Linked DNA regions of Tamandua tetradactyla. The protein of the gene in region 1 binds, or shares a complex with, the protein of each later gene. Links are inferred from orthologs where the notes say so. Each region holds a gene or a part of one and is shown in the gene's direction. Other genes may lie near its edges. The genes, in order: EID3, NSMCE3, NSMCE2 and NSMCE1.

The links.
Region 2: EID3 (region 1) and NSMCE3 share a complex: the UniProt entries of both Homo sapiens proteins name them as parts of the SMC5-SMC6 complex. The link is inferred for Tamandua tetradactyla from reciprocal best matches to the Homo sapiens genes EID3 and NSMCE3.
Region 3: EID3 (region 1) and NSMCE2 share a complex: the UniProt entries of both Homo sapiens proteins name them as parts of the SMC5-SMC6 complex. The link is inferred for Tamandua tetradactyla from reciprocal best matches to the Homo sapiens genes EID3 and NSMCE2.
Region 4: EID3 (region 1) and NSMCE1 share a complex: the UniProt entries of both Homo sapiens proteins name them as parts of the SMC5-SMC6 complex. The link is inferred for Tamandua tetradactyla from reciprocal best matches to the Homo sapiens genes EID3 and NSMCE1.

What each region holds. Positions count from the first base shown.
Region 1 is NC_135333.1:174,450,085-174,457,401, forward strand, and holds EID3 (EP300-interacting inhibitor of differentiation 3), read left to right. Parts: upstream 1-4,302; 5' UTR 4,303-4,414; coding exon 4,415-5,503; 3' UTR 5,504-6,884; downstream 6,885-7,317. UniProt on the Homo sapiens protein: Tissue-specific component of the SMC5-SMC6 complex, a complex involved in repair of DNA double-strand breaks by homologous recombination.
Region 2 is NC_135338.1:81,819,752-81,826,724, reverse strand, and holds NSMCE3 (non-structural maintenance of chromosomes element 3 homolog), read left to right. Parts: upstream 1-5,010; 5' UTR 5,011-5,150; coding exon 5,151-6,008; 3' UTR 6,009-6,463; downstream 6,464-6,973. UniProt on the Homo sapiens protein: Component of the SMC5-SMC6 complex, a complex involved in repair of DNA double-strand breaks by homologous recombination. The complex may promote sister chromatid homologous recombination by recruiting the SMC1-SMC3 cohesin complex to double-strand breaks.
Region 3 is NC_135332.1:169,607,737-169,615,751, forward strand, and holds the start of NSMCE2 (E3 SUMO-protein ligase NSE2), read left to right. Parts: upstream 1-5,005; 5' UTR 5,006-5,138; intron 5,139-8,015. UniProt on the Homo sapiens protein: E3 SUMO-protein ligase component of the SMC5-SMC6 complex, a complex involved in DNA double-strand break repair by homologous recombination. Is not be required for the stability of the complex.
Region 4 is NC_135349.1:26,270,574-26,278,445, forward strand, and holds the start of NSMCE1 (non-structural maintenance of chromosomes element 1 homolog), read left to right. Parts: upstream 1-4,871; 5' UTR 4,872-4,894; intron 4,895-5,484; exon of another isoform or gene 5,485-5,692; intron 5,693-5,979; exon of another isoform or gene 5,980-6,076; intron 6,077-7,872. UniProt on the Homo sapiens protein: RING-type zinc finger-containing E3 ubiquitin ligase that assembles with melanoma antigen protein (MAGE) to catalyze the direct transfer of ubiquitin from E2 ubiquitin-conjugating enzyme to a specific substrate.

The sequences.
Region 1 (7,317 bases):
TGTGCTTCCTTTTTAGGCTGCATTTAAATACTTGTAGAAATTGGACCATAGGTTAGAAAATCACAACTACTTGTTGATTCTTTGGGGAAAAATGTTTATTAATATGTAAAAGATCACATATCAACAAATAGGACATCTTTTGAAAAAATAAAACTAATTCTTTAACACTAGTATAACTTCATTTTAATGATTTTGTCCTTGTTTTCATGTATACATACTTTGATATCGTTGCACATTTTCATTATAAAACCAGACCTTTATATCTGATAGAAGTTTAAAAAGGGCAGAATGTAAATTGCTGGTGGTAGGAAGTTAAGATGTTTATACCAAAAAGTGAGTGCATATGAGTCAGGATCAGAAGAGAACATAGGAAAATGAGCACAGTTCATGTAAGTAATGTGAGGCAATCTTTAGGTTGCACCTGAAGTTGTTACTGTTTAGGTAATGTCCTATTTTCTGCAAAAGATAAATTATTGTTTATTTGTAAACAGCTTATAGGCAAACTGTCAAGAAGGTAAAAATGGTGAGCATTATAGAGAAGATTTAAGCCATTTAGTAGTGATTTTGAAATTCACAAGGGTAGAAATCTATTTCTTTGTGACTATGAGGAAATCTCTAGACTTGAAATTGTTTTACTTTGTAGCAGTGTCTGAAATCATGTGCTGTATTTGCAGTCAGTAATGCAAGTATGATTTTCTGAAGATGATTTAAATTACATTTTACTAAGGTTCTTGGATACAGGACCAGCATAGAATGAAAGTACTGGACGTCAAAATTGATTCATATACTGCTTGCCTTGATGTGTTCTGTGCCTCTGTGAGAGTTGTGTGGGTTGTTATCTCCTGAGAAATCACTGTAAATGGAATTACTAATACTTTATAAGTAGGTTGGGGGAGTTATATATTTTTCTGAAACATTTTGACATTTTCAGATGAAAGACTGTGTTTGAAGCAAATTGGTGTGTGAAGCAAATTTTCCTTCCTCTGAGCACAGGAGAAAATAAATACCTCGTGCTTGTCTTTTGGAGAGCTTTCATAAACTGCTTTTATTGAAGATAAATTATCAGAAGGATAGAATCCTCACTCCCAAGAATATGGTCATCTAGTAGCAAACTTTTCTGCATTTTGGGTCTTGGAATTATTAACTGTATGTTTTCACCTAAGATTTAAAATAGGTTTAAATTTTATTTTGTAATTGCCAGACATGGGGAAAACATGGCTCTTTAAAATGATCCTGATTCCCAAATTTGTTATTGTCTCATTTTCCCTGTTTTCCAGAAAGGGCATGAGGTTGACTTTTTTTTTTTTGGTTAGAAATAATTGTTTTATATAGTTGAGTGATAATTTAGATACACATATATACATATGCTTATCACAGTGAGGAAAAAATGGTTTAGAAAGAAGGGTTTTTTGTTTGATCTGTGTTTAAAGGGGTCACTAAAGAGAATAAACTTGCTTAGGAATTCCTTTTTAATAGTTTTCTTAAATAAAAGCATCCTTTGATCACAATGGAGAATAAATTCAACATTTATTCACTAATGCAATAAAAAAATACAATGTAGATGCTACCAACACAGTGAAAGGCACCTCTCAAATCTTAACACTACAAAAAGACTAGGGAGTTCTATAGAAGATTAAAGGCATTTGGGGATTTCTCAACATCTTGATGACCAGACAACAAACTGCAAGATATCAGGTAAATGATATTAGCGAGAGTAAACTAGGTACTAGGTATCATGCAAAGACTACATATATTAACTCATAGCATCATATCTTATCTGCACTAAGCAATAAATGACCTCCATTCTGCCATTACTAACTAACAGATTGTGGCCGTTCTTATTTTCTGGTTCCAGGGAAATAACCAGAGATGCAGCAGTATAATAAATAAATGTGATTTTCCAGGCTTGCCAGTTGCTAAAACAGAGTCTCCAGGACTATACTAGATGCTTATGGTAGATCTGCACAGGCTAATTTTAAAGTGCATGTAATTTAAGCCCGAGCCTCTGAAATATCATTTGTAAGGTAATAGTTTTATATATTCATAAAGTTTAAATTAAGATGAAACAATCTCATATAAATAAAAACTTGTTAAGAGGCATCCAGTCTCTTATAGGCTTCTTCAGTGAAAAAGTTAGTATGTCCTTCATCTGGGATGAATTGTGAAGAACATCCCAGTCCTTCAGAAGAGCATTCTGGTTTGGAATCAGCATCAAAATTTCTTTCTCAAGTACTGGTGCTTTGAGACTGTTCTGAGAAAGCTCTGGAAGAGAGAGTACTTCACTACTATCCATTTGAAACATCTGTTTTACCTTCTCCTCCTCTCCTTCCATCTCATTTGTCAGAATGTGAAGTTTGCTTTTGAGGCTTTGAATGTTCTCATTGACTCTGTGGTCTCCACTATTTTATCTGTTTCTTCCTGCAATATTGCCAGACCTTCTTCATTAGCACTGTGCTATGCCCTTTCCATTTTCAGTAGACTTGACACTGTTAAATTTTTCTGTTTCACACAGTTGTAGCAATCTTTTCTTCAGACAGTTGAGATGATACTGGATTTGTTTGTTTTCTTTAATATTGTTACTCAAATTGCTATTATTACTGACTCCATCATAGATTGTAAATACTTTCTGCTACTCCTTGAAAGACGTTGCCAGGTTTTTCTCTTGTTGGATGTTATCTTTATCTGTTTCAGATTAGTATGCTTTGTTTTTCCATCTGGAGAGAGATGATTTGGGTGTTTTTAAACCCTCTTTAAGGTGTTTAAGAGGGTGTTTCTACCCTCTTTCTCTGATAACTCCATTTCTTCATCAGTTTTTCTTTTTGGATTTCTTTTTAACTTGAGATTTTTTCTTGGACACATTTGCTTTGTCAGGCATCCCCTATAAGTGGGAACAATTATAATGTGCTTCAAAAATCACTAATTCCTGTGGGTTAGTATTTAGAGAAATTGGCGCCCAAACAATCGAAAACCATGAAACCGGGAAGTGGCTGTGTAGCTGAGGTTGACTTTTTATAAAAGAAGTCAGATTTTACTTTCAGTGTGTAGGATAAATGACCTATACTAATCTGTGAATTTGATCTTTTCTGCCAAATAACTTCCAATAGGTGCTGGATCAAAGTTTTTAATCTACATTCATTTATTCATTCAGTGCATGCTTGAGTGCCTTTATGTGAAAACGGCTGTGTTTGGGAGGTTTAAAACCAAGTCTTTGCTTTTGAGATGCTAATGCAGAGGAGAATGTATATGCACAGGTAACTATGATGCATGTTGTTTTCGAAAAACACATCTTTCTGAATTACTCCTACTTAAAATAATTGTGGACAAAGAGTGGCATCATAAGGATTTTGGAGTAACTTAATAGTTGGTTTTGCTGTTCCTGCATTCGTATGAAACGTTATGCTACTACCTAAGAAAAATGAACCAGTCTGCAGAGGAAGGAAGTTACGGGTTAATTGACTTCCTGGCCCCTGAAGCCCATGATTGGCAGGTGTGGTGGGTCGCCTTTTTTCTTCAGCCCCCTAGCGGCACCTGTGGTGGTTAGTAAGCGCTTTCGATGGCGTGGGCTGAGAGCGAGTGTTAATCCCTTCCCTGTGCCTGGGTGCTCGGGACTGACCGGCCCTCTCCAGCCGGAAGCGAGTTTCCAGCCGCTTCGCTGAACTAGCGGGCGAGCCTCCCGCAGGGTCGCGGCGGGTCCCGGCGTTCGCCTTCGTGGCCCGACGAGTCCGGGCCCCAGGCCTCTTCGCCGCGCAGGCGACCCTGGCGGCCCAGTCCCCGTGAGCGCGCTCGCGGCCCGCGGTAGCCTTCCGCTCGGCGTGGGGAGCCGGGGGCCCCTCGCGAGTGCGCGCCCGCGCGCCCGCCCTTCCCCGGCCCCCGGGAACGAGTTCCCAGCGTCCACCTTGCGTTTGATCCTGGAGAGTTGGCCTCTATAATTGGGGTGTGCATTTCATTATCGTTGCCCCGCGAGCATTTTATAATCTAACCAGACTTTCGGGTTCTCAAAAAAAGGACCTTTTCATCGCGAGAAAGAAAAATGTAGGTCGGCCTAACTGCACTGTATCGCGGCGAATGTTTTAAAGAGTGGGACCTTTCCCCCCTGAGTTTGCCGTAGCATGTCTTTACAAATTGAGTGACATTGTCAGGAAGCGCTGAGCCAACACCTGTCCCTTGAGCAGGTGTTTTTCAAGTGCCCATTGTTGCGTGGCGTGCGGCCGCGGCCTGTCGCTAGCGCGGAGGCGGGGCCCAGCCGGCCGCTAGTGCGCATGGGCGGGGACGGGCCGGCCGCCAAGTGCGCATGGGCGGTGCTGGGCCGGCCGCTGAGGCGCGGAGGCGCGCGGCCTCTGGCTTCTGCCGGCTTCGGCGTGCGCGGCGGGGGAAACGTCGGGGAGGCGCCCAGCCGAGGGCGGTGGCTGGAGGCATGTGTGATGAAGAAGGTTCCCCGAGAGCTGGCGAAGAGAAGAGACAGAAGCCCGGGCGTGAGCCCGCCGTGAAGCCGGCGGCGGAGTCGAGGAAGGTGGAGGAGGCGGCGGGGCCTTCTAGCGACTCTGACGACCCCAGCTCCGGGGACGCAGACGTCGATCCCCAGCTCCTGGGGCTTGCGGATGACGAGGAGAAATGTCGGCGCATCCGCAGGCAGTACCGGCAGCTCATCTATAGCGTGCAGCAGAATCGCGACGACATAGTCAACACGGCGAGCGAGTCCTTAACCGAGGCCCTCGAAGAAGCCAACGTCCTGTTCGATGGAGTGAGCCGGACGAGAGAAGCGGCCCTCGACGCGCAGTTTCTTGTGTTGGCTTCTGATCTGGGTAAAGAAAAAGCAAAGCAGTTAAACTCTAATGCGAGCTTTTTTAACCAAGTAGCGTTTTGTGACCGTCTGTTTATGTTTGTGGGCCTAAACTGGATGGCGGGTGATGAGCGTGATGAGCTGGATGGTTGTGATGCTTCTTTGGCTGTTCACTTTTGGGAGACGGTGCAGAAGGAAGCAGCAACCTGGCTCTTGCAAGCTGAGACGTTCCACTTCATCTTTGGCTCTTTCAAGCATGAGTCTTCTGCACGGAAACCACGTCCTGAACACCAGAAAAAATCTCACAAAATGGAAGAAAACAGAGATATGCCGACAAAGCTGAGGAAGTTGGACCCTAGTAGTAATCAAGAAGCGACAGAAAAAGAAGTAGAAAGAATCTTGGGATTGTTGCAAACCTACTTTCGAAAATATCCTGATAGTCCTGTGTCCTATTTTGAATTTGTGATTGATCCAAACTCTTTTTCTCGTACTGTGGAGAATATATTTTATGTTTCTTTCATTATAAGGGATGGTTTTGCAAGAATAAGGCTTGACCAAGACAGGTTGCCAATATTAGAGCCAGTTAATATTGATGAAACTAGGAAAGGAAACAATTGCAGTTCCAATGGCAGGAAACAAGGAGTTATATCTTTGAGTTTACAGGACTGGAAAAATATTGTGGCAGCTTTTGAAATTTCAGAGGCTATGATCACAAACTCGTAGTAAAGATTTTTGTGCTTAGCATAAATGCGTTTTTGTTTTTTCTTAAATATCTGAAAATGGAGAAAGTAAAATCCAAATAGAAGAACATACTTTGTCTCTTGTAAAGTGGGAAACTTTTTTTTCAAGAACATTAGAAATTGTTTTACTCTCTAGTGTATTTTTCTTGGTAGCTTAAAAGATTGTCATGATCTTATGAAAGAAAAGTCACAGGTATTTTAATGGGAAAAAATGTTAAATACACTTTAAGACTATACTAGTTAAAATAAGTTGTGCTTTTAAAAAATTAATAAAATAATTGATTAATAAATTAAAAAGTATTGGGTAATACAGATGCAGATGCTCTCATAACCTGCTTTGCTTCCATTACTAGGAGCTCTGGGGAACATCAGGGGTTTCTTATTAGGTTGGGGGGACAGTTGGTGAAAAAAATGAGTGGTCAAGAAAGGCAGTTAATATGCAGCCTTAGGGCTAAAAATTCAGTTAACATGCTTCATTGCAGAGGAGGATACAGTAAGATCTCTAAGTGGGTAAACAATTTCTCCTGTGACCAGACTCAACAAAAGTAGAGTATCTTATCTCTGCTACAGGAGGGAAGGTGTCAACCAAGTGCTGAAAGGTGACAAGGAATTAGTCACAGAAGATGGGAAAGCCTGCATTGCAGGCAGGGAAACAGGGCAAACACATGAAAGTGTGAGAAGTTATGGCACAGAAGAACTATACAATTTCTAGGAAACTTCCATTTTATTTTGTTGAACTGGACAAAAAATAAATACCGTCATACACTAGTATCCCCAGTTATTTATTTATAGAATAAATATTTTTTTCACGTTTCTTCAGACAAAATTTTTTACCATCCAGTTATAGGCTTTATCTTTTTGGTAATTTCTTCCCTGATAGCAAGTTTTTCTCGTTGTAATATCTGCTTGTAAACAACATGCCTTTTAGAGTTAGTGATGTTTCATCATGTAAGAGCCTGGAGTATTTGTTCCAATTCAAATATGCATTTCTTTATAGAATTCTAAATGCCTGGATTTAAAGACTTTTGTTTAATTTAAAATACATGATTTATTTCAATGTTCTTTAGCATAAAGCCGTAGAGACTTTTTGTTGTTTGTTTTTTGCAGTTGTTTAAGAATATAAGTTACACCCTTGTTTGGAGATTGTTGCCGAAATTTTGATTCTTAGTGCAATTTTCAAAAGTGTTCAAAAAAAAAAACACCATTTTTTGAAGGTACAGTGAGCATGCAGTAAGCTTCTTTCCCTTATCTCTGTAGGAACGCAATATTTGGTAGTTGTAACTTTTTATCATTTGTCTATTAATTAGTTGACAAGTGTGTAAATATCTCTTATGCATAGCAAAGACAATAAACTTTTAAAACTATTCTGAGTTCAATCTGGTACAAGGAAGGAAAATCCAAAGATTAAATGAATGACATCAAGGTTAAAGTGGGTGGGTTAGGGGGGAATGTCGTGTGTGTGTGTGTGTGTGTGTGTGTGTGTGTGTGTGTGTGTGTGTGTGTGTGTGGTGGGGGAGGAAGAGGTGGGGCTCTTCACCAAAAATAGTGGAGATTTTTAGCAAGAATTGAACTTAGTCATGAATGTCTGCCAATTGTTCCTGAAGTAGTCATTCCTTCCTTTTCCTCATGTGAAGGAGCTAATGCTTCCTGGTCTCGTCAGCCTTTGATTTAACAGTCATAGATGCATCATTGTTTTACCAATCCTCACTTTATGTCTTTACCAACCTAATTCCTTAGATTTTCCAGAGACCTCCTGTTTGGGGAAAAGGTACTCTTAGAATAGCAAAAAGACCATGC
Region 2 (6,973 bases), on another chromosome or scaffold:
AGGTCATATGTACAGTCTGTATGAAAAAGCACAGCCATTCATGATCTCTCTCCTGCCTTTATTGCCAGCTACTTAAAAGGTACATAAGCACTTCCTCAACCACAGAACACTGCCAAGAAACTTAAAAATTATTTTGTATTCAGATCAATTTAATTACATACAAGTGTGCTTACAGGTAATATTTACCTTGTCCAGCTCCATTTATGTGAAATAAATTCTCATTCCATAGTATACTTTTTCTCCCTACCTAATTGGTTTGGATACCAATTTAGCCACAAATTTTTCAGTTTCAAGTAAGAGGAATCAACTCTATGCAGTTTAAGCAAAAGGAGATTTTACTAGCTCCAGTAACTAGTTATCCTTACAGTCCAACCTTGAACTCTGGATCCAGAGATTCAGATGGCAGCATGAGAAATGTCTCTTCATCTATTAGGTCCTCTTTGAGTTAGCTTTGGAATTTTCTAATAGAACTTAATCATTTTCTTAAGAAGAGCTTTTTGTACTAAATGGTTACAATGCTTTTGGAAAGCAATAATCTAGCCCCAACGCCCCATCCCTTCCACCAGCCAAGGAAAGCTCTGCTTCTGTTTAGAAATGCTTAATTTCATGACGGGCAAAATGTTATTAGGCAGTTTATCATGTCATCTAAGTAGGAAGGATCTTTGCTACAAATAGTAAGCACAAACAAGAGATTGTATTGCCAACATTAAAATATTTGTATTGTTTTCCCTATTTACCCACTAAAATAATCTTTGTCCCCAAGTCCCTTGTTCATATGCTCCATGTTTGTTGTTCCACTTTCTTTCACTGGAAAAGTCAGGGAAGTTGCTCACATATGATAGCCACATACTTATTTTTGCATGGGCAAGCACCCGCATGGCAGGTGACAACTTTGCCTGCTGAGCCACCATGGCCTGCCCCTATTATATGATTTTATCATTGCCTTTCTTCCCCCAAAAGTCCTCACCTACTTTTAGCACTAGGTTGCCTGTTAGAAAAGTTAAAACCTTTCTTGGATCCTGTGAGAAATACCAGCGAATGATGAGGAAAATTCTGTAGAGAATAAGGATGAGTACTTTCTTAGCAGGCATTTGCTACCAAGGAGATGAAATAAAGCATTTAATTAGAGACCTCTAAAGAATTATTGGTGGTAGGTATTTCTTTGTTCAATGCATTTGAAATCTTACCTAGCTTAGTTTTTGCCTCAAAGTATGAAGATTATTAGCAGAAAGTGTTTGAAAATGTATTTCTTTTTTAACATCTCTTTCCTTCACTACCTAAACAAAAAGTCACAAATGACATTCAAACCACATCAAACTGACTGAAAATTTGAATGTGTATAACTGTTATGGCATGATGTCAAGAAAAGTTAAGCTTTGTTGAGAATATATTTACATTTATTTCCCAAGCAAGACAACCTATATTGAATTTATTTTTAAGAGAAAATAATTTTAATAGGAACTTGTTTTTCCCAGACGTTTTTTGATTTTTGTATGAGCACATTTTTAACTGTAGTATCTTTCTCTATATCACTTTGTGTAACCCTCAAATATGTATTGACTACACTGCCAGGCTGTCCTTGGTGCTTGGCAGACCTTTCTTACTTAGTTCCCAAGGCCAGGATCAGAACTCTAAATCTGGAGTATCAGTAGCTTTCTGAATGTCTTAAATGTTTCTAATCTAGGACCATCTGATTCCAAAGCCCTTACTCTTGCAAAGACACCAGGTGTGTTTTCTGCATATCAACATATGGTTAAGAGCACAGGCTCTGGAAGCAGACTGCCTAATTCAGATCCCAGATCCCGGATCTACCACTTAATTGCTGTGGGGCTGCAAACCCCTTATATATCTTCTCTGGGCCTCAGTTTCTTCATTTGTGAGAAGAGGAATACAATAAACGCACATGCCTTATATATTTGTTGCAAAATTAAATGAAGTAATACATGTAAATCACTTGGAATAAGGTCTGATCCAGTTACTTTTGAATTATCATTAGCCATTGTTGTTCTTCATATTTATTATTACTGTGCTGGCTTGAAAGGAAGTATGCCCCCTAAGAAAAGCCATGTTTTAATATAAATCCCATTTCATAAAGGTAGAATAATCTCTATTCAATACTGTATGTTTGAAACTGTAATGAGATTATCTCCCTGGATGATGTGCTTTAGTCAAGAGTGGTTGTTAAACTGGATTAGGGGATGACATGTCTCCACCCATTTGAGTGGGTCTTGATTAGTTTCTGAAGTCCTATAAAAGAGGAGAATGAGAGAGTCAGAGAGCAGAGAATGCTGCAGCACCACGAAGCAGAGTCCACCAGCCAGCGACCTTTGGAGATGAAGAAGGAAAATGCCTCCCGGGGAGCTTCATGAAACAGGAAGCCAGGGGACAAAGCTAGCAGGTGACACCGTATTCGCCATGTGCCCTTCCAGCCGAGAAAGAAGCCCTGACTGTGTTCGCCATGTGCCATCTCACTTGAGAGAGAGACCCTGAACTTCATTGGCCTTCTTGAACCAAGGTATCTTTCCCTGGATGCCTTTGATTGGACATTTCTATAGACTTGTTTTAATTGGGACATTTTCTTGGCCTTAGAACTGTAAACTAGCAACTTATTAAATTCCCCTTTTAAAAAGCCATTCCATTTCTGGTATATTGCATTCTGGCAGCTAACAAACTAGAACAATTACCATTCTCTATATTTATTATTGTGATGATGATTATTATCACCACTGTCATCACAATTTGTTCCCACACATCCATGGTTTCCCATGTCAGTCTGAGGTGGAATGTTGGCTTGGGTTACTCTCTATGCACTGCTTAAAATTCTAACACTATTTGATGCTTGTATTTTCCCACCTGCATTCTTCTAGACAGTGTAGAGCTTGTTTTGTTTGTTTTAATTAGAGATGTGGGCTTAAAGAAAAATCAGGCATAAAATCAGGGTTCCCATGTACCACCCTATTATTAACACCTTGAATTTGTTACAATTCAAAGAATGTTTTTATAATTGTACTATTAACTATAGTCCATCATATACAACACGGTTCACTATGTTATATAACTTTGTTTTTGTTTTAATTTTCATTCCAGTAACATATACACAAACTCCAAATTTCCCCCCTCAACCACATTCAAATATATAAGACTTAAAATCTACTACCTTTTCTCATCCATTTTAAGTAATAAAGATTTGCTGCCTGGGTAAGGATGCTACTGAAGGACCCTGCTGATTTTCACAAGGTCACAGGGGAGTCAGATGGATGGGGCTGCTTGGTAATTTAAATAAAACTTATTAAAAAACACTGAAACCCCAGACTAGTTGTTGAAAATGGCTTTCAACTTTTTATTTTCCATTGTTCCTTTATCTTTTTATTGGTGACATTTTTAAACTTAAGGTACAACTGATCATTCTGTGGAGACCTTTTGCAGAATTCTAGATAGACTGCAGGAGTTTTTTGAACTTGAGTCTGAATTTTAATTTCCAAGTAAATTTTGAAGATTTTTTTTTTCTTGTAAAAAAAAAATGAAGGCATTAATGATGTATTTATTTTTCTTGGTGGTGGGTCTTTCATTAAAGTGAGGATATGTTATTGTGCCTTGTGTAAAACAAAGTTGTTACTCCATGCTTACCAGATTTGTAGCATACTTGTATCACAACATGGAATACCTTTTATACTTAATATTGCAGTTCCAATGCTGTTATCAAATTTCATTTTCATACTGAATTACAAACAAAAAGTCTATGCTAACATTTAATGAAATTTTAATAAGGTTGTTATTTTGAGGTTATTATTCAAATATATTCTGAATTGCTTTCCTTTGAATATATTTTGCATTAAAGAAGAACTCAGTTTGATTTAGATTTTTGTACAGTTTACCCACTTTATAGAGTAGCTTCAAAAAGGCAAAGAGGGGAAATTCATTTTCTTTTGCGAGGTGGTATGATTTTAATTAAGTAATAGCAGCAGACTGCTAATGGTTTAAGTTAATGAAATAGCTCTTTCGGGCTATTCGAGTTGCACAATTAAAAATATATATACAAAGTGCACATATCAAAGATTATGAGGGATAACAGCCCGGGATTCTCTTTTCTTTCTCCTTAAGCTCTAAGGCTGATCTGTATTAAGAATTAAGAAATTCCAGAGTGACATTTTTGTAATTCAGCATCTGTGGTACCCCAAATTAAATGGCAATGTCTTGAGAGAGCATGCTTCTGTTTGTACCATTCCTCTTACCCCATTCCAACTAAAATTGTGGTTGTGGGCCCAAGGCAGTGAACTTGAACCTAGGGGTTCCAAAAGATAAATTGCTTTGAGCAAGCGAAAACCTCGCATTTAAACACGCTGTACGTGGCGGTTTTGTCAGAACTGTCCAGCTGATGCAGTTTAATGTGGAAAATACAAAAACTGAAATAGTGAAAAGGAGGGGTAATTCCCGCTCGCCAAGAAAACCTACCTTCATCAAACATTTTAAAATAAACTCTTGGGGACACGAAAGTTAACTGGGCGATCATAGTTAGGGGAAGGCGTGGCGAAGGAAAGTCTGACTGTCTCCAAATAGAAGTTTTCCGGGTTTTCCTCTTTTTTAAAAAAAATCCACGTTCCCTGTAGAAATAAATGCTTTTCCTTTACTTTTTACAGTCTTCCCTTCTTCTTCACCCTGTTTTTCTCCCATATGCATCCTCTGAGTTCTCGCCACTTAGAAACAGTCCCAATGTAAAAACTCTTAATACTCACTTTCTATAGAACTTGCCTGAGCCTGTTTCAGCTTGAATCTTGCCGCATACTAGTTTAGGAGTTTCGGTGCCAGCTCTCTATTTGTATGGTTTGTTAAGGATAGCACTTAAAATGATTTAAAAACAAACAAACAAAAAAACGAGCTACAGACAGCAAGCCAACTACGCGCGCTCTTCTCTCCCGCCGACGCGCGGCATTCGCGCAGACGCCACGAACGCCACGCCCAAGTTCCGCCAACGTAACAAGAGTTTTCAGTGACGTAAGGCGCGCCCCTCTGGCCCCGCCCCGGGACGTGCCTTGCGCAGGCCCAGATGTGACGTAGCGTGCCTCGCGTCTCCGGCGGCTTCCGCGATCCTGCTGCGGTCCGTTACCGCGAGCGGAGTTCGAGCCGGCGCCGGGAGTCCACCGCCGAATGACATGCTGCAGAAGCCGAGGATCCGGGGCCGTCCTGGCAGCCAGGCCGAGAGGGAAAGGGACTCGGGCCACGGCGGGGAGGAGGCTCCGAGTACCTCTCGCGGCACAGGCAGCTCGCAGGAGACTCTGAGCGCCTCGCCCAGGGGCACCCACGCCAGTCAGGCCACCCCTGCGGTGGGGCCCCGCACGCAGAAGCAGCTAGAGCTGAAGGTGGCCGAGTTGGTGCAGTTCCTGCTGATTAAAGACCAGAAGAAGATTCCGATCAAGCGTACCGAAATCCTGAAGCATGTCGTCGGAGACTACAAGGACATCTTCTCTGACCTCCTCAAGCTCGCCGCCGAGCGCCTCGAGTACGTCTTCGGGTACAGGCTGGTGGAACTCGAGCCCAAGAGCAACAGCTACATCCTCATCAACACCCTGGAGCCGGTGGAGGAGGATGCGGAGGTGCGGGGCGACCAGGGCACGCCCACCACGGGCCTCCTAATGATCGTTTTAGGGCTTATCTTTATGAAGGGCAACACCATCAAGGAGACTGAGGTCTGGGACTTTCTTCGTCGCTTAGGGGTGTACCCCACAAAGAAGCATTTGATTTTCGGGGACCCAAAGAAACTCATCACCGAAGAGTTCGTAAGGCAGCGTTACTTGGAGTACCGGCGGATTCCGCACACTGACCCCATAGACTATGAGTTCCAGTGGGGCCCGCGTACCAGTCTGGAAACCAGCAAGATGAAGGTGCTTAAGTTTGTGGCCAAAGTCCATAACCAAGACCCCAAGGACTGGCCAGCACAGTACTGTGAGGCTTTAGCAGAAGAGGCTGGTAGGGCCAGACCTGAGTCCGGTGGTCCGGCCCCCTCCTCTTGAAATCATACACAGATTTTTGGAGACTTCCCGGGGGAAGGGCCTCGGGCCCAAAGGCTGGTGCTGAGGGACGGGGGGAGAGGGGACAGTGGGCCATCTTTCGTAGCACTTGGAAGTATGTTAACTTTAGGATTTGTTTGCAAAGTTTTGTACCTTTAACATTCTTAATTATTTGATTCCAAGTCGACACATACCAAAGAGAAGGATGTGGTCGTCGTGAGGTTGTTTTGATATGCTTTATTTGTCTGTATTTTTTGGTATAAAACTTTTGCCAGCTTTGTGAAAGTAACTGGGGAACTGCACCATAATCCGGAACAGACTTGTAAGAAAGAACACATCGGTGAATTGTTTGTTTGTTTTTTGTCCCAAGAAAATAAAAGCAAAATGGCTATTATCTGGCTTCATAACTACCCCAGTTTGTAAAGAAAAATAAGTGTCTTTATAAATTGAAAATGAAATGTAATTGCCGGTGTATCCTTTTTTGCTTTAACACAGCTGTTTTATTGTTATATATTTTCCTCTTATAGAATACATTTTGAATGGTTCCAACTAGTGTACATAATTTATTTTCTCCGAATAGCAATTTTTAAAATCTTACTATATAATCATACTTATTACTCAGTTCTGTTGCTGACCATTTTATTTTTCCTTTTTGTGGTTTTAGTTATAATCAGTAATGTATTTTTGAAGCAGTTAAGCATTGTATGTTTTTTCAATCGTGGGTCATGAGAAGTTGTGACTCAAAACCACCACCTTAAAAAAAAGGAAAAGATAGTTCGTGCTACTTTATATAATATCATAAGTAGTGTTTTTTAGAAGTTGTTTCACTTTTATTTGTGTGTTTATATTGGGTCGTGATGTAAAACATTTTTTGCTGCAGCTCTCCCAAAAGTTTATGAAACAGTGGCTTATTAATGAACCATGCTTGCTTGGGAATCAGACTGCTTAGATGCATATCCTGGCCCCAC
Region 3 (8,015 bases), on another chromosome or scaffold:
TCATTATAAAGACTTATAAGCAAAGGAATTTGGACATAGAAAGAGAAGCCATGGGGAGGAGCTGTAAGTCAATGGAATCCAGAAGAGAAAGGAGAAGACAACATCACATGCATTGCCATGTGATGGAAGAGCCACGGAACCCCAAAGATTGCCAGATAGCCAGAAGGTACAGACTCTGGGAGGAAGTAATCCTTCTAGACTCTGAAACTGTGAGCCAATAAATTCTTGTTGTTAAGCCAGCCTATTGTATGGTATTGTCATGGTCAGGTTCACGTGTCAACTTGGCCAAGTTGTGGTACCTATCTGTTTGGTTGGGCAAGTACTGGCCTATCTGTTGCAATGAGGACATTTCATGGAATTAGATCATGATCACATCAGCTGCATCCACAGCTGATTCCATCTGTAATCAGCCAAAGGGGAGTGTCCTCTGCAATGAATGATGCTTAATCTAATCACCGGAAGCCTTTTAAGGAGGATTCAAAAGAGACAGAATCTATTCCTGCTTTGGCTGGTGAGCCTCTCCTGTGGAGTTCATCCAGACCCTCCATCCGAGTCATCAGCTTCACAGCCAGCCCTGAAGATTTTGGACTCTGCGTTCCCACGGTCATGTGAGATACTTTCATAAATTTTATATTTGCAAGTGTTCCCTGTTGATTCTGTTTCTCTAGAGAACCCTAACTAATGTAGGTATTATTTTAGAAGCTGGGAAACAAAACAGTTTTTGGTACCGAAAAGTGGGGTGTTGCTATTATAAATAATTAAAAATGTGGAAACGGCTTTGGAATTGGGTAATGGTTAGAGGCTGTAGGTAAAGGAAATATTGTCTTAGAGAATACATATTCATCATGAACAGAACGTTGGTTTAAAGGTGGATGTTAAAGGTATTTCTGAAGAGGTCTTAAAAGGAAATGATGAATGTGCTACTGGAGATTAGAAGAAAGGTGATATAGTGTTACAAAGTGGCAGAGAACCAGGCAAAATTGTATTCTGATGTCAGACTGAAAGTAGAACTTATAAGTGAAAACATGAACATTTAGCTGAGGAGATTTCCAAGCTAAATGTGGAAGATACAACTGGGCTTCTACTTACAGTTTATAATAAAAAGCGAGAGGAAAGGGATAAGCTAAGAACTGAACTCTGAAGCCCAACGAAACAATAAATTGATGGTTTGGAAAACACTGAGGCTGTCCAGATAGTGTCTTCTAAACGAGGGCCAGAAGTGGCACTATCAGAAACCTCCATGAGTTTCCAGAAAGTAAGCCTTCAGGGCCCTTGTAAAAGTTTAAATGAACAACCCTTTGCTAATGAAGGTATGGTTGAACACAGATTCAGTAAGCCATTTTAATGGAAGTCAAGACTGGAAATGGCAGTTATCCTTGAATTATCTTTGGAAAGTTCTATTTTGCCTGATGGTTTGAAGCCCATATAGCTGCATATTAAGCCAACAAATTTTTTTGCAAAATCTGTATGAGGAGAACGATTGCCAGCTGGACTGAAAGGGAACGAGAAGGCACAAATTGAAAGAAGAATGACTTCCAGGATTGAACAATGGAAGCAAAGGTCTGGAACAAACAGATCTCCTTGAAACAACAAGCAGGCCCACCCATTCATGAGCAAAAAGGGTGAACCCACCTCTGCCCTTGGAGGAGGCACACCATCTGCCCCCAGTCTTGGAGAAGGCATGCTTGGAGCTTCAACATTCAGGGAGAGTGCTCCCACCCCAATACTTAGAGCTGGTGGAGCCTGTGCTGCAGAGTTTGCAGAAAGCCTGACTGCCATCCAATGTTCAGAGTACCAATTACGAAGAATGACTAGTGAAGACAAAGACTGACCCTGATAGAAACTGTTGGCCAAAAATATTTGAGTGAGAACAGAATAAGGGATAAATTACTTCTGAGATTAGATTACAAAAAGACTATGGCTTCTGGCTTGCTTGCCCTGGGGTAAGCATGTTGCCATGTTGTGACTGAGCCCTGTAGGGTGGTACAGGTGACTAGAAGCTGAGCCTGTCAGCAACCAAGAGTGAGAGAGCTTGGAAGTGGATCTCTTTAGCCCTAGTTGAGCCTCTCCTCAGAGACTGACAGCAACCTTAGGAGAGACCCTGAGCCAGGCAGCTAGCTAAGCACATCCTAGATGTCTGACCATAGAAATTGGCAGACAAGAAATGTTTGCCATAAGCCACTATATCTTGGTATTACATGTTATGCAGCAATATATAACTATCAGGAGAAGGGCATTCCAAGCAGACATTACAAGTAAGTACAAAGCCCCAGGACAGGAATGTGCTAAATGTGCTTAAGGAAGAGAAAGGTGTTGATATGGCTGGAGCCCAGTAAGCAAGGACAGAAGCAGAGATCAGGGGAGGTGTATGGGGTTGGAATGAGAGCAAGGAGCAATGAGAAGCCACAACAGTTGTCTAGAGTTTCCTCTTGTGAGGGCATCCTATAATACATATAAAGATATAAACTATTAACAAATCCTTTTAGTTTTCTCTGTACTTGCCTGTTAAACCACATTGATCTCTAACAGGCTGAAGTTCAGATCACTTTGAAAATGAACACTTAATTTTCTGCAAAAATAAGGTCTTGCTTGGGAAATGAGAGAAGAAGTGGGGAAGAAATAAAGGACAATAAGTGAAATAGCTATATACTGAGGCTCTCTGAAGACCACCAAACTAACACTGCTGTCTCAACAGGATTAAACTCTAGACTCTCCAGAGCAGGGCAAGCTATGGTTAACAGGTCCAACTGCTCTAAATTTTGAATACTAAGATAGAGCAGAAAATGGTGCCCTGGATAAAACCACTTAAAGCACAGCAACATTACCTGCCTTCTTTCCTACTCCTTCCCAACAAAAACAGATAAACACACGAGGCATCTTCAAGCACAACTTCAGGAAAGATTAGGCATGGAATAATGACATAAAACAATTAATCTCTTATTTAATCCTTATGCCTTTGCCCCAAAATTGCACTGTAGACAACTTCCAAAAGGAATTAGAAAGAGAATAGGAAAAAAATTAAACATGACTGGCAATAGCGAAAAAAATGTTATGGATTTTAAATACCTAGGATAATTTCTTTCTCTAATGTTTAATTTAAAAAGTAAGTTTTAATTTAAAACTAAGTTTTAAGTTGAATTTTTTAATGTAAAAGCAAGATACACCTTACATTTCAGGCACTTGTAGTGAAATGAACCCACTGACAGCAATCCATTTCAACTCAGGAAGAGCACTTGCATCTTTCTATTTCCTTCTCTCTTGCTAAATTTTTAAGGATGTAACAAGTGAAAACCAACATTAACTGAAAGAAGTAAACTCCTTAGTTACTTTATTATGTACTAAACCTCCTAACCTGGATTGATTACCTGGTTAATTTGCAAGAATATTAGGTTAAGATATTTGGTAAATAGTCCTATTTTGGCTGAAAACTGGACTTGAAGAACAAAACCTGAGTCATCAATAAAGTTGCCTCATCACCTTGCAGTGATTTCAGAGGTAGGAGGCTTTACAGAAAGTGTAAGACTTCGTTAATCTTTTTTAAAAAAAATCACTACAGGGATGTGCAAATAAATATTGTAGAAAAAGCTATCCTGAACTGTCCTTTGAGAGATTCTCACGGTGCTAGGGACAAAGAAAACTCATAGATCAGTTTTCTCAATTAGATCATAACACTATTAGCATAAAAGAGAACCAAAAATTCCTCTTGTTTTCCTCTTTCCTTTTACAAGTCACCCCCCCCCCCCAAAAAGGGGGTGTAACTTTATTTTAGGAAACTGGCATGGAGCAATGATTATCAGTTTGGAAAGTAACCCTAGAAAGACAGCATGCTTTCAAAAGTGAAGTTTGTCATCATCACAGCTATAATCTAATGAATACAGAGTCAAATTTCTGAAGGAAATTAAGTTGTCCTGGGAAAAACCACTGCTTAACCTATTCAGAGGACAAAGGAAGATAGGTCTATTTTTGTCATTTCATAAAACCTCAGCTTCAAAAGGAGGAAGCACAGATCCATTATCAGGAACACAATAAAATGGTTGTTGACCAGATAAAAGCAAATAGCGCATTATCTCTTCCAGAAAAGTTGTGAAGTGAGCCTGATCATTCTAGTCCAATTCACGAATCCTGGGAAAGACAGGTGAAAGAAAACTGGGAAAGGTGTCCCTGTGGCCAGAGGCAGTGAAACTTCTTCCTCCTTTCTACTTGCCCATCACCAAAGCTGGAGAACACAACGCGCTTGGAATCAGGAGATCTATTTCCATTACTGGGTCTGTCACTTTTTATTTTTACTATGTTCCATAGGAGAATCAGGACTCGCGGAATTTTTTTTTCCCCCAAATGCAAAGGGGCTTTGGTACCACCATGTCACAGGGGAGGAAATTAAGGTGCAGAGAGGAACAAAGACTTGCCCAAACTGAGTCCACAGCAGAACTAGAATTCAAACCCCGTCTATCACACTGTAAAAGCCTACCCCAACCACCGTTTCTCGACAGTAAATACAGGAATAACGATGTGCACAGCAGCGCTCCCAGAAAGTCGGGAAGATCTGATGCGGGCCAAGCAGGTGAACATCGCTTCCTCAAGCGCCAAAAGGGTGTGCAAAATTGTTTCCATCTAAGTGTAGAAGTAGAGCCTGGAATACCCAGTCCCAGGAAGCCACTAAATCCTCGGACCCAGCGCCCTCACTCCAGACAGACCCCACCGGATGCCGCAGATCTCCCTTTGACCTGCGAGGCCCAATTCGGGGGCAAAGGCAGGAAAAGGGGAAACATGCAGGGAGGAGGCGCCGGCACCGGGCCCGACTTACCTGTCACCGGGGCCACGCCAGTAGCGCACGAGCGGGGTAAGTGGTCGGACGAGGAGCCGGCACCCCTGTCCCCTGCCTATCTGTCCCGCGGGTCCCCCTCAATCCCCAAACCCGTCTGTAAGCCGTTGGGCCCAGGCTTCCGCCCCATGACCGTCACATGACCAAAAGGACGGAGAGCCGGGAGGAATGTCATGTGATCCCTTGTTGGCGACTGTTGATGACGTAGAAACCCGCGCTCGCCGTTTCAACGACAGTAGAAGGGAGTTAGCAGGGCATTGGGGTCCAGGAGTGGAAAGTTAGGGTGCAGCCAGACGAAGACCGATCTGGCAGGCAGGTAAGACGTGGGGGGTTGCGATGGAGAGGGTGGCGGGAGTTGTCGCCTTCTGTAGTGCGCGCGCTTCGAGCTGGGGGTCTGGCGACCGTGGATGTGGTGCTGGTTCTTTTCACGTCACAGCGTCGGGGGCGGGGGGGGGGGGGAGGTCAGTTTACCTTCTTGTCCGAGAAGTCATCTCTCTATCCTTCAGCCCTATGTGTTTGGAGAAAAGATCGCGAACTTTTTATTCAAACAGATTTTGTTTGAACTGTGTTTGAAAGTAGGACCTTGGGCAAGTCGTTTAAATAAATAAACTCTCCGGGCCTCAGTGTCCTTTTCTCTTATGTGAATTGTGAGGACTAGCGATGATGAGAGTGAAGTCCTCCGCATCAGTTTATGACAAACTGTAAGCGACCAAGAAATGGTGATGGTTGTTGTTGTTGCCATTATTTGATGTATTGCTCGCCTATTTTGTGTGAGGGCCTATTTTATGTGCTCTAGAATGTGTTAGGGTTCTAGTATAAGGAGTTCCCAGGGCGAAGAAGTGGCAGACGTGAGCAAATAGTTGCGATAAGTTTTATAATAGATGAGTGTGTGATAATATAGTGCTAGCTTCGGGGAGGAAACAAGCAGTTGCTTTGTATGGATAAGAGAAGGATGCATCCTTGCATCTTGATAAAGGATACGATCTTTAACTGAATTTTTACGAAGCTCCCATGTATTTAGAGGTCAACAGAATGTCTACGAAGTGTTTATTCTGTGCCTAGCAGTGTGTTGTATGGAAAAATAAGGGGAAGAAGCAATAGAGAAGTATTTTTATGTTTGCATTGGCTTATAATTGGCACTGTCTACAGAGCATCTTACAGGCTTGTTAGGGGACGCAAAATAACATGCTAGGGAAGAGCACAGGAAATGCATATCCTTGATCTAAGTTTTCTTGGAGACCGTACTACAGGGAATAAGGAGGGAAGGCTACAAAAGGAGGTTGGTTTAAACCAGGATTTCTCAGTGTTGACTCAAAGATACTAAGGACTCTGTTTCCCATAGTCAGAATGACACTGCCAATCCATGGGGCTTGTTGGCAAAAGAGATAGTCAAAATATCACCACTGGATTCTTCTAATGCTTCGTTTGTGTGAAGCCAGGCTGTGAGGGATGTTTTTGACACCTTTATGGAGTTTTGTGGAAACAGAAGGTGTAGAAATCTTGGCTGGTTGTATACATTAATGAGGGAAAGGGATGAGCTTCAAATGAGAAGCTTACGTGCTATATGACAGATATAAATGTTTCTATGAGTGCTTTGAAGAAAACTTTTATTTCCTGTAGCCACAAACATGAACTCTCCAAAAATTAGACTCAGAATCTTATTCTTAGAGAAGCAACTTTACAATTTAAACGGAAATCCCAATCTTGCATGCTGTCTGTCATTAAAATGAGGGCATTGATTGGAAAGGGGTGGGACCCTGAAAAATGGAATGGCAACATATGGATTGATTTTGATGTCAGTAGACAGGTTGAAACCCCAGATTGTGCTGATCTTTTCTACATAACCCTATAATAGTCTGCCTTGAGGACTTAGCTGCCCCACCTCCAGCCTTCCCTGAGGAGTTGGCCACTCAGCCTCCACCTGGAGGTATTAACCCTAGAGTGATTAATCATGTTTCACCAGATGAAACTGCAAATGAATGCCCTGAAGCAATTGTCTTGGAAGATATTTCTAATTCTTTTCAATGACCCCCACCCCCAACGCCGTCATTTCTTCCAAACCTAAATCTAAAGTCCCAACAGGCCCCAAAGGGTGAGGTACAAAGTGTCACCCATAAGGAAGTACGTTATACTCCAAAAGAACTCTGTGAGTTTCCCAATTTATATAAACAGAACCAGAGGAATATGTGTGGCAATGGATTTTAAGGGTGTGGGATAATGGTAGGAGGAATATAAAACTGGATCAGGCTGAATTTATTGAAATGAGCCCACTAAGCATTCAGTGTTACAGTTCTAGGGGTTAGAAAAGGCATTAACAGTTTGTCTGGATGGTTGACTGAAACATGGATCAAAAGGTGGCCAATATTACCTGAAGTTGAAATGCCAGAACTGCCCTGGTATAATGTAGATGAGGGAATCCAACGGCTTAGAGAGATTGGAATATTAGAGTAGATTTATCATGGAAAGCCTGCTTATACAACCCCAGGAATGTCCAGAGGTTGCACCTTTTATCAAAACTGTGAGAAATAAATTTATGAGACTAGCTCCATCATCCCTGAAGAGCTCTGTAGTTGTCCTTCTCTATAGGTCAGATATTACTGTGGAAAATGCTGTCACTGAGCTGGAATCCTTAAACACAGTGGGGATGATCGGATCCCAAGTTGGCAGAAGCCAGATGGCAGCACTTAATCGTCAAAGACAAGGTGGACCTGGCTATCATAATGGACAGCAGACTCAAAGCAGGAGTCAAAATAATCTGATTTGCAGACTTGTGGCGTTGGCTAGTAGATCATGGGGTACCTAGAAGTACAATAGATGTCAGTCTACTAAATTCGTGTTTGAGCTATATAAGCAAAAGAGTTCTAGGTCAAGTGAACAAAAGCCCACCTTAAATCACAAAAACAGAGAGTCATGGCCCCTTAATTGAGACAGTTTACGACCCAGAGCCCCTTGAATGAAGGGGAAGCCAGGTCCCTTTGGGGGAGGAGAGGACCCTGTTACATTGCCACAAATTTATACTGTTAATCTTCCTCCAAGCCTTCCCCAAGGAGACCAATGGTCTTTTGCCAGGGTAACTGTACATTGGGGAAAAGGAAATGATCAGATATTTTGGGGATTATTAGACACTGGTTCAGGAGTGACATTAATTCCAGGGGGCCCAAAACATCACTCTGGTCCACCAGTCAGAGTAGGG
Region 4 (7,872 bases), on another chromosome or scaffold:
TTTGGTGTTTTTTGGTATTTTTTAAAAAATAAAAAATTAATAAAAAAAAAGATTAACTAGCCTTATAGTATGTGTTGGATAGCATTCTCTATTTTGTTTATAGTTTAGTGCTATTTGCATAATGCAACTTGTCTTTTTTTTTTTTTTCTTTTGAACGCTCCTACAAAATTACTTGGCCTGGGTATTTTGGAAGTTGGAACAAATCTCTTTCTACAATGTCATTTTTATTTATGATTTATGGTTTGTTATTTTAGTCAAGTTTTGTAATTTCTATTTTCTCAAAAATTGCCTCAATTTTCTACTGTACTGGCATAAAGTTGTTCATAGTACATTCTTTTGCTTTTTAATATTTTTATTCTGCTATATCCTCTTTGCCATTTAAAATATTGTATTTGTTTCATTTCTTAATTTTATGAAGTTTGTCTATTATATTAGTCTTTAACAAAAACATGAGCTTTTGCTTTCCAAAAGCAGCTTTATTTTCTTTTTTACTAATTTCTGTTTTTATATCCTTCTTTCTGCTGTTCTCTGGGTTTATAAGTTGTTATTTTCTACCTCTTAAGTTGCACACTTAGCTCCTTCAGATTTTTTTCTTGTTTTGCAATAATCATGCTTAAGGCTATAAATTCCCCTATAATCATTGCTTTAGCTATATCCTAGAAGTTTTATGTCAGGCCTTTATTGTCATTCATTTCTAAATATTTGTATTTTCCATATTGGTCTTTTTTTTTTAAATCAATATGTATTTTTCAGTTTCCAAATGTATGTGGTTTTTCTTTTAAAAATGTATTATGAGGGGTAAGGCTGACGTTGTATTTTAGAACTTCACCTACTCTTTGAGACCAAAGGAAGAAAGGTTTATTTTGTCCACAACCTAAATTTTCTTTAGCACATAATCTAACTCAACCTGTTTGGATAGATCATTTAAACAATCCAAAAACAGGGAGCCCAGATTAAGAATGAGAGCCTTCAATCCTGTATAGCTTAGTGTAATGCCTGGATACATCCCAGAGTATATTAAGCAGATAATCAAAAAGTATTGTCAAAGTAGAGAAAAAATATGGAACTATTAAACTTTACCAACAGGGAGACCCCAGATCCTGTGTCAAACGTTAGGGACACCCAAATTAATAGGTCAAACCCTTAATCTTGAGGCTTGCTCTTGTGAAGCTTATGTATGTAGTGGAGAAGCTTAGCCTACCTGTAGGTATGCCTAAGAGTCATCTCCAGAGGACCTCTTTTGTTGCTCAGATGTGGTCTCTCTCTCTCTCTCAGCCCAACTCTGTAAGTAAAACCATTGCCTTCCCCTCTATGAGGGACATGACATCCAGGGGTGCAAGTCTCCCTGATGGCATGGAAGATGATTCCCAGGGATGAGTCAGGCCCTGGCACTCTGGGACCAACAATTCCATCCTGACTAAAATGGGGAAAAGTAGTGTAACAAATAAGGTAACAGTGGCTGAGGGAGTTCAGAGTTGAGAGGCTACTTTGGAGGTCACTATTATGCAAGCTTCAGTTAGACATTGTTATGTATCATAACTTGCCAAACCCCAACCAAAACCATTCCTGCCAATCCTAAAGAATACCTAGGGCATTATATAAGACTCTACAAAGGTTCCATGTACTAGGGTAACTTTCCAGAAACATATAACCTTCAGAAGTGTCCCTGAACAAGGTAAGTCCGAAATGCAGAGGCGCCAGCCTCTCCAGAACATCAACTATTTCCACCCCCTATATCATATTACCAACATCCCCTTCCAACATGAAAAAGTTAGAATGGGCATAGCCCAAATACCCCTAAAGAGTGGGTGAAAGATCAAAGGTGATAGTGGATTTATACAGAGAAAGTAGGGTTTCGCAAATGAGTATGAGTGCTAAATCATTATATTGATATTTCTTTTAGTCTCCCTTTGAGCAGCTAGAAGTAAAAACCTAAAATTGTAATTGTAACCCAAACAAAGACTCTGAAATCTTATTCTACAACTAATTGTTGTGATATGCTTTGAAATTTACTGCTCTTTTGTATATATGTTATTTTTACAAAAAAGAAAAAAGAGGAGGAGGAGTATAACAGAAAAGACAGGATTTAACAAACGAGTATGACTGCTGAATCATTATATTGATATTTCTTTTGGTTTCCAGTGTCTCGGAGTAGCTAGAAGAAAAAACTAAAAATTGTAGAACTGTAACCCATATCGAACTTTAAAATCTGTTCTATAACAACTTGTTAAAACGTACTTGGAAATTTATTGCTTTTTTGTATATATGTTATATTCCACAATTAAAAAACATTAAAAATGTATCAAAATCTTTAAAAATACAAAATGTATAAAAATTAATATAATGAATGTTCATTTATATATTCATGTTCTTATCACGCAGCTTAAGAAATAAAACCCAAATATGAGCTTATAATTTAAAATTTTATTTTTCATATATAATAGCTGTACACAGTTAAAAAATTTTCTATCTCCCTGGCCCTCTTCTCAGAAGTAACTGCAGTTACTAATTTAGGTGTATTCTATATATTATATGGATTGTTTTGTGGCTCTCTTTTTGTCGTTGATTTTTAATTTTGCTGCACTATGGTTAGTGAACATGGTGTATAGATTCTTTGAATTTATTGAGACTTCCCTTATGGCCCAGTACGTAACCAATTTCAGTAAAGGTTCCAAATATATTTGAAAAGAACAAATAAATCTAAGTTCTTTCTCTAAAACAGAAATCTGACCTTGTCACTTCCATTCTGATAGCTTCTTTAGTCTTCAGGTGAAAAACTAAGCCCCCTGATTATTTGATTTGGCTCCAAGCTTCCTCTCTCGCCAAGGTCTCAGTTACCTCCCTTGTGTAGAACAAATTTAGGTACACAAAGCTCTCTAAAATATCATACCTTTTCAGATCAACTTTCGGAACAATATTTGAACCATCAGTGCTGTCCAGTAACAGGCAGTCTAATCAAAGTACATTAAAAGTCCTGATAAATACCTCCTTGAACCAGATAGACAGTAGACTATCTTCTTAGGGTAGAGTTATATTGAGGCCAGATACTTGCCCTGTGGTAGTCACTGTTATCGTGAACTCCAGTTCTTGTTTACTACTTGCTCCTACTGAACCTGATCCACCTCACTGAGATCCTTGGTTGTTGAACCCCTTCCCTTACTTCTGATTTGTCAGCATTTTCCCTCACTCACATCTGTGCCTGCCTGTACCATGGTGGACCACTTCAAAGATACTCCTATCACCACCCCAAGTTGCTTTGCCTTCTAGAGTCAGCAGCATATGCCCAGCCCAGATCCACTCCACAATGGATCCAATCTAAGCTCCTACTCTGAGGCCTCTAGAATGGTGATAGAAGATTGAAGGAGGGGATCAAATAACCAACTGTCATCTCTATATTATAATTTATGGTTTCAACCACAGCTGGACTCTCACTTTCACATTCCCCTTGGCATCTGCTCTAAACCTTTTGACCCCCTCCATCCCCTGGCATCTCCCCAGCTTTTTTATTCAGCAGAATGATACTGTTTGCTACTTGTAGAGAAAACAGGAAGACATCAGGGATGACCCTCTATTTAACCATTTTCACTTCCTTCCCTCTTGCTTCAGAAGTTTTTCTATTCCTCTCTGGGGCAATCCTGCCTGATTTATTCTATTGATGTCCCTCTCTGCTCCTGAGTCTTCAGCCTTCCCTTCCTAAAACATACTTCCTAAAAGTGTACTCCTCATTTCTTCTGCACTTCCTCAACCATTCATTCAAGGGGTCTGATCTAGTGTCCTCCCTTCTCTTTCTCTCTCTCTCTTTTTTTTTTTTTTTGGCATGGGTAGGCACCTCCCTTCTCTTTTGAGACTGCTCTCATTGGGTAACAGATTCTAAACCTGGTGGAACATCTTTCTGACTCCTCTGAGCATACCTTCTTTCTCAAAACTTTCTCTTAATCTATGTGGCTCTGATACCACTCAGTTTTGAATCCCTTCTCTTTCTACCTCCTTTGCTCCTTTGCTTGGCTCTTTACTTTGAAGTGTTGATGTTCTCCAGCATTTTCTGTTCTTGGTCCTCAACTTTTATTTCTACACATCAGGAAAGCACATGCTTGATCACATAGAGGGTTAGTCTCTACCCAGATCTGAACAAGTGCTGCCACGGTAGAATACTGACCCAGTGTGCCAGGTTTCCCATTTCTCAAGAGTGGTCAGACATTCCAGTATTTTATGTAAGATGCCTCAACTTTTAAATAATGATAATGGATCGAACATTTTACATAATACTTTGCAGGGCAAACAAAACTTGGATGTTACTCTTGAGGGTTATTTTCTTCTCTTATTCAACTGCTATTAAAGCAGTTTATAAAATACTTTTTATTAGTAATGGTGGCTCACACTTATTGAGTACGTACTATGTCCCAGACATTCCTTTAAGTGGCTTGCATGTATTAACTGCATAATCTCGAATTTTTATTTAATCTTCACAAGAACATTACCAACAAGGTAATTATCCTTGATTTACAGATGGGCCAACTGAGGCAGAGAGGTGGAGAATTTTGTCCTGGGTCTCAGAGGTTTCGAGTTTAAGAACCAGGATTCACATTCAGGAGGTCCCAAAGCTCAAGATTTTAACCAATTTTCTGCTTTTCCCCATCAACAGATAAGGAAATCGAGGCCCAAAGAGGTTAAGTCGTTTTCCCAAATCACACCTGTGGTAAATGGCCAAGTAGGTATTTGAACCTATCATCACAAAGTTAGCTACTTGCACTCACTTCTGTTCTATAATTACCTATGTCTCCTCCTCTCACACTAGGAACCGGCATACCAACGTTTGTAGAATGTTTCTTGGATACTCGAAACATCCATTGGCTTCCGTTGAATGATTTCATTTACTCCACAGGACAATCCCTAGGTAAGATAATAGCCAACATTTAATCAGCACTTCCACCATGTGACATTTTCCAGGTGATATGTTAAGTACTCAATATGCATGATCTCTCAGAAACACTATTTCGTAGGGCCTATTTTATCTCTATTTAACGGAACAAGACACTAAGGCTCAGAGTGGCTCCGTGACTTGCCCAAGATCCCGCAACTAATAAAAGCGGCAGAGCCACGATTCTAGCTCAGGTTATATGACAACAAAGCTCAGGCTATATGACAACAAAGCCCTCATTCTCAGCCATGAGCTCACACTGTCAGTTCTACAGATACGGACACTGAGGCCCGGGACAGGGCACTAGCTTGTGCCCGCAGGATCGCGGGCACTGGAGAGCACAGGCTGCACTCCTGTCCTCCTCTTCTTCGCTCGGGCAGTGCCACTGCAGCTCAAGAGGCAGAGGCGATAAGCGGGAAGCTCCATACTCTACGGTACTGAGCGCTGCCTAGGAAGCTCGCTTCTCCGGCGCGCGCGCACGTTTGAGGCCTACTGGGACCTTAACCGAGAGAGACCGGAGCACCATGGCAACGGCGCGAGAGGCAGAACAGGAAGTACGTCAGCACGTGGGCGGGGAGCATCTGCCGGTGACGGCCAATGAGAGTGCCGCGTTCGCCTTCGCCCCGCCCCGAGGGAGGACTCCTGTTCATTTTCGGCCATCACAGCCGGCTCAGTCTGGGCGGTCGTTGAGTGTCGTGGCGGGTAATTCGGGGCGCTGGGACTGGAGGCAGACGGGGTCGAACGGAGTTTGGGAAGGCGAGGGGAGCGTGGAAGGTGGGGGTCGGCCAGGCAAGAAGTGGGATCAGGCCCGGGCTCGGCCTCTGTGTGGTGAACGGGGGACCGGGGAGGGCTTGGGACTACTCTTCCCTATTTTTTGATGGGGAAACTGAGTCCAGAGAGGGGGCACCCGCGCAGGAACACCCCCAAACTTTTAAATCATAATATTAGGTGAAAACGATATTTAATTGTAGTATTAGTTAAGAAAAAAAGCGAAATACAAAATTCTCTTTAAGCTGACTACATCAATGGAAAATACGGCCTTTGTTGACCACCCCTCTCAGTTTATTTCGCAGACCTCTGACTAGAGCTTCTTTGTATAAGTCCCCATACCCGAGGCTAGATGTGTCCAGAGTACAGAATTTCTCGGGCTTTAGAAAGGTAATATGCTGCATATACTGTCATACCCTTAGCGGGGTCTAGGACAGGGTCCTGTGATTAAATACATTGATAACTACACAGGTGGTTAATGGTTAATGTGCGTGTTTACCCAAAGGGGGATCAATAACGGCCATAGGGGGATCAATAACGGCCATAAATAGACCCGCCTCAGATCAGGTCCGGTTTTCAAACTGAATAAAAAACTTTGGTTTTCAGACCTTTTTAGATGTGGGAGTTGCAAATAAGGGACATGGATCACAGTTCTGTTTTCTCGCTAACGTGAACTGGGAGCGCCTTGAGAACAGGAATGTGCTTTTGTGTCCCCATCCTCTATCTCTCTGTCTCTCACTCACTGTGTCGCTTTAATGCCTCTCTCAGCCTCAGTTTCCTCAGCTCTAAATGGGGACAGTAATGCTTTCTTCATCAGGTCCTGGTGAGAATTAAATGAGACCACGCAAATGAAGCACTCCTACTGTGTGTAACACTTGGCTCAGATGGTTAGGATTGAGATTTACTTCTTTCTAAAGCGTTATTTGGGTGGGTGTTACACATCCATGGTTAAAACCGGAGCCCCCTCTCCCTAGTCTATCTTCACAGAAGCAACTGACGTTATGTGTTAAAAACAAGCATATCAATATTTATGCCCCTTTTCCAGCCCTACTTCCCCACCTCTTTTTGGCCAAATTATAACATACTACACTGTGCAGTACTTTGTTCTTCTCATCATCTTTTCTTTTGGCTGGCACTGAACATATTTAGATCTTTTTTTTTTCTTTTGTAACATACCTATTAAAAATGTGTGAAATGTAAGTTTGAAGGGCAGGAGTGAAATGAGACCCATATACCCACCATTAAGTTAAAAAATAGAACATTAATCAGATCCTCAAGGTCTCCACTGAATCCTTTTACTCCCTTCCCCAAAGATAACTGCTACCCTGAGTAATGTGTTACCCATTCCCTTGGTTTTCTTTGTAGTTTTTACTATCTGTGTAAGCATTTCTAATGAATTGAGTGTGCGGTTTTCTAATTTTTGGATCCTAATGTGTATTTCATATGACTTGCTTCTTGCTTGTAATATTTCATTTTTGTGATGCATCCTTTGTTGATGTTTGTTGCTCTACATCATTCATCTTCACTACTGTATTGAACTTCATGATATGATTATAATATACTTTACAAAGCTGTTCTGTTGATGGGCATTTGTATTGTTGCCAGAGTTTGGCTATTACATAGTGCTTCTAAAAATGTCTCCTGGGAGAGTGTGGGAATGTTTCTGTAAGGTTTTATACTTGTAAGTGGATTTGTGGAGCAATTCACATTTGCTAGTAATATCACATTGTTTCCTGAAGTGGTTGTAAGAGTTTATATTCCTACCCTCTGTGGATCAACCATATTTTTAAATATTTTTCTATCTGGTGGTGGGTTAGATATTATTTTGTTGTGGTTTTAATATTCATTTGCATGATGACTTGAAATTGAGTATCTTTTGAATGCATTTATTAATCATTTCTGTGAAATTTATTTTGCCCATTTTCCTCTTAACATCTTTCTCATATGGAATTATAGGAGTTCTTTATATATTCTGGATATGAATGTTTTGCGGCTTATATGTATTTCAAATGCCTTTCAGTTTGCCTTTTTCTTTTGTGTTTCTGGTGAGCAGAGGTTCTTAATTGTAATGAAGTCAAATTTATCAGTCTATTCTTTTATGGTTTGTATTCTTTGTGTCTTTATAGAAAATCTTTCCCTACCCTTCAGTCATAAAGGTATATTGTCATTTGCTTTTCTCATGAATT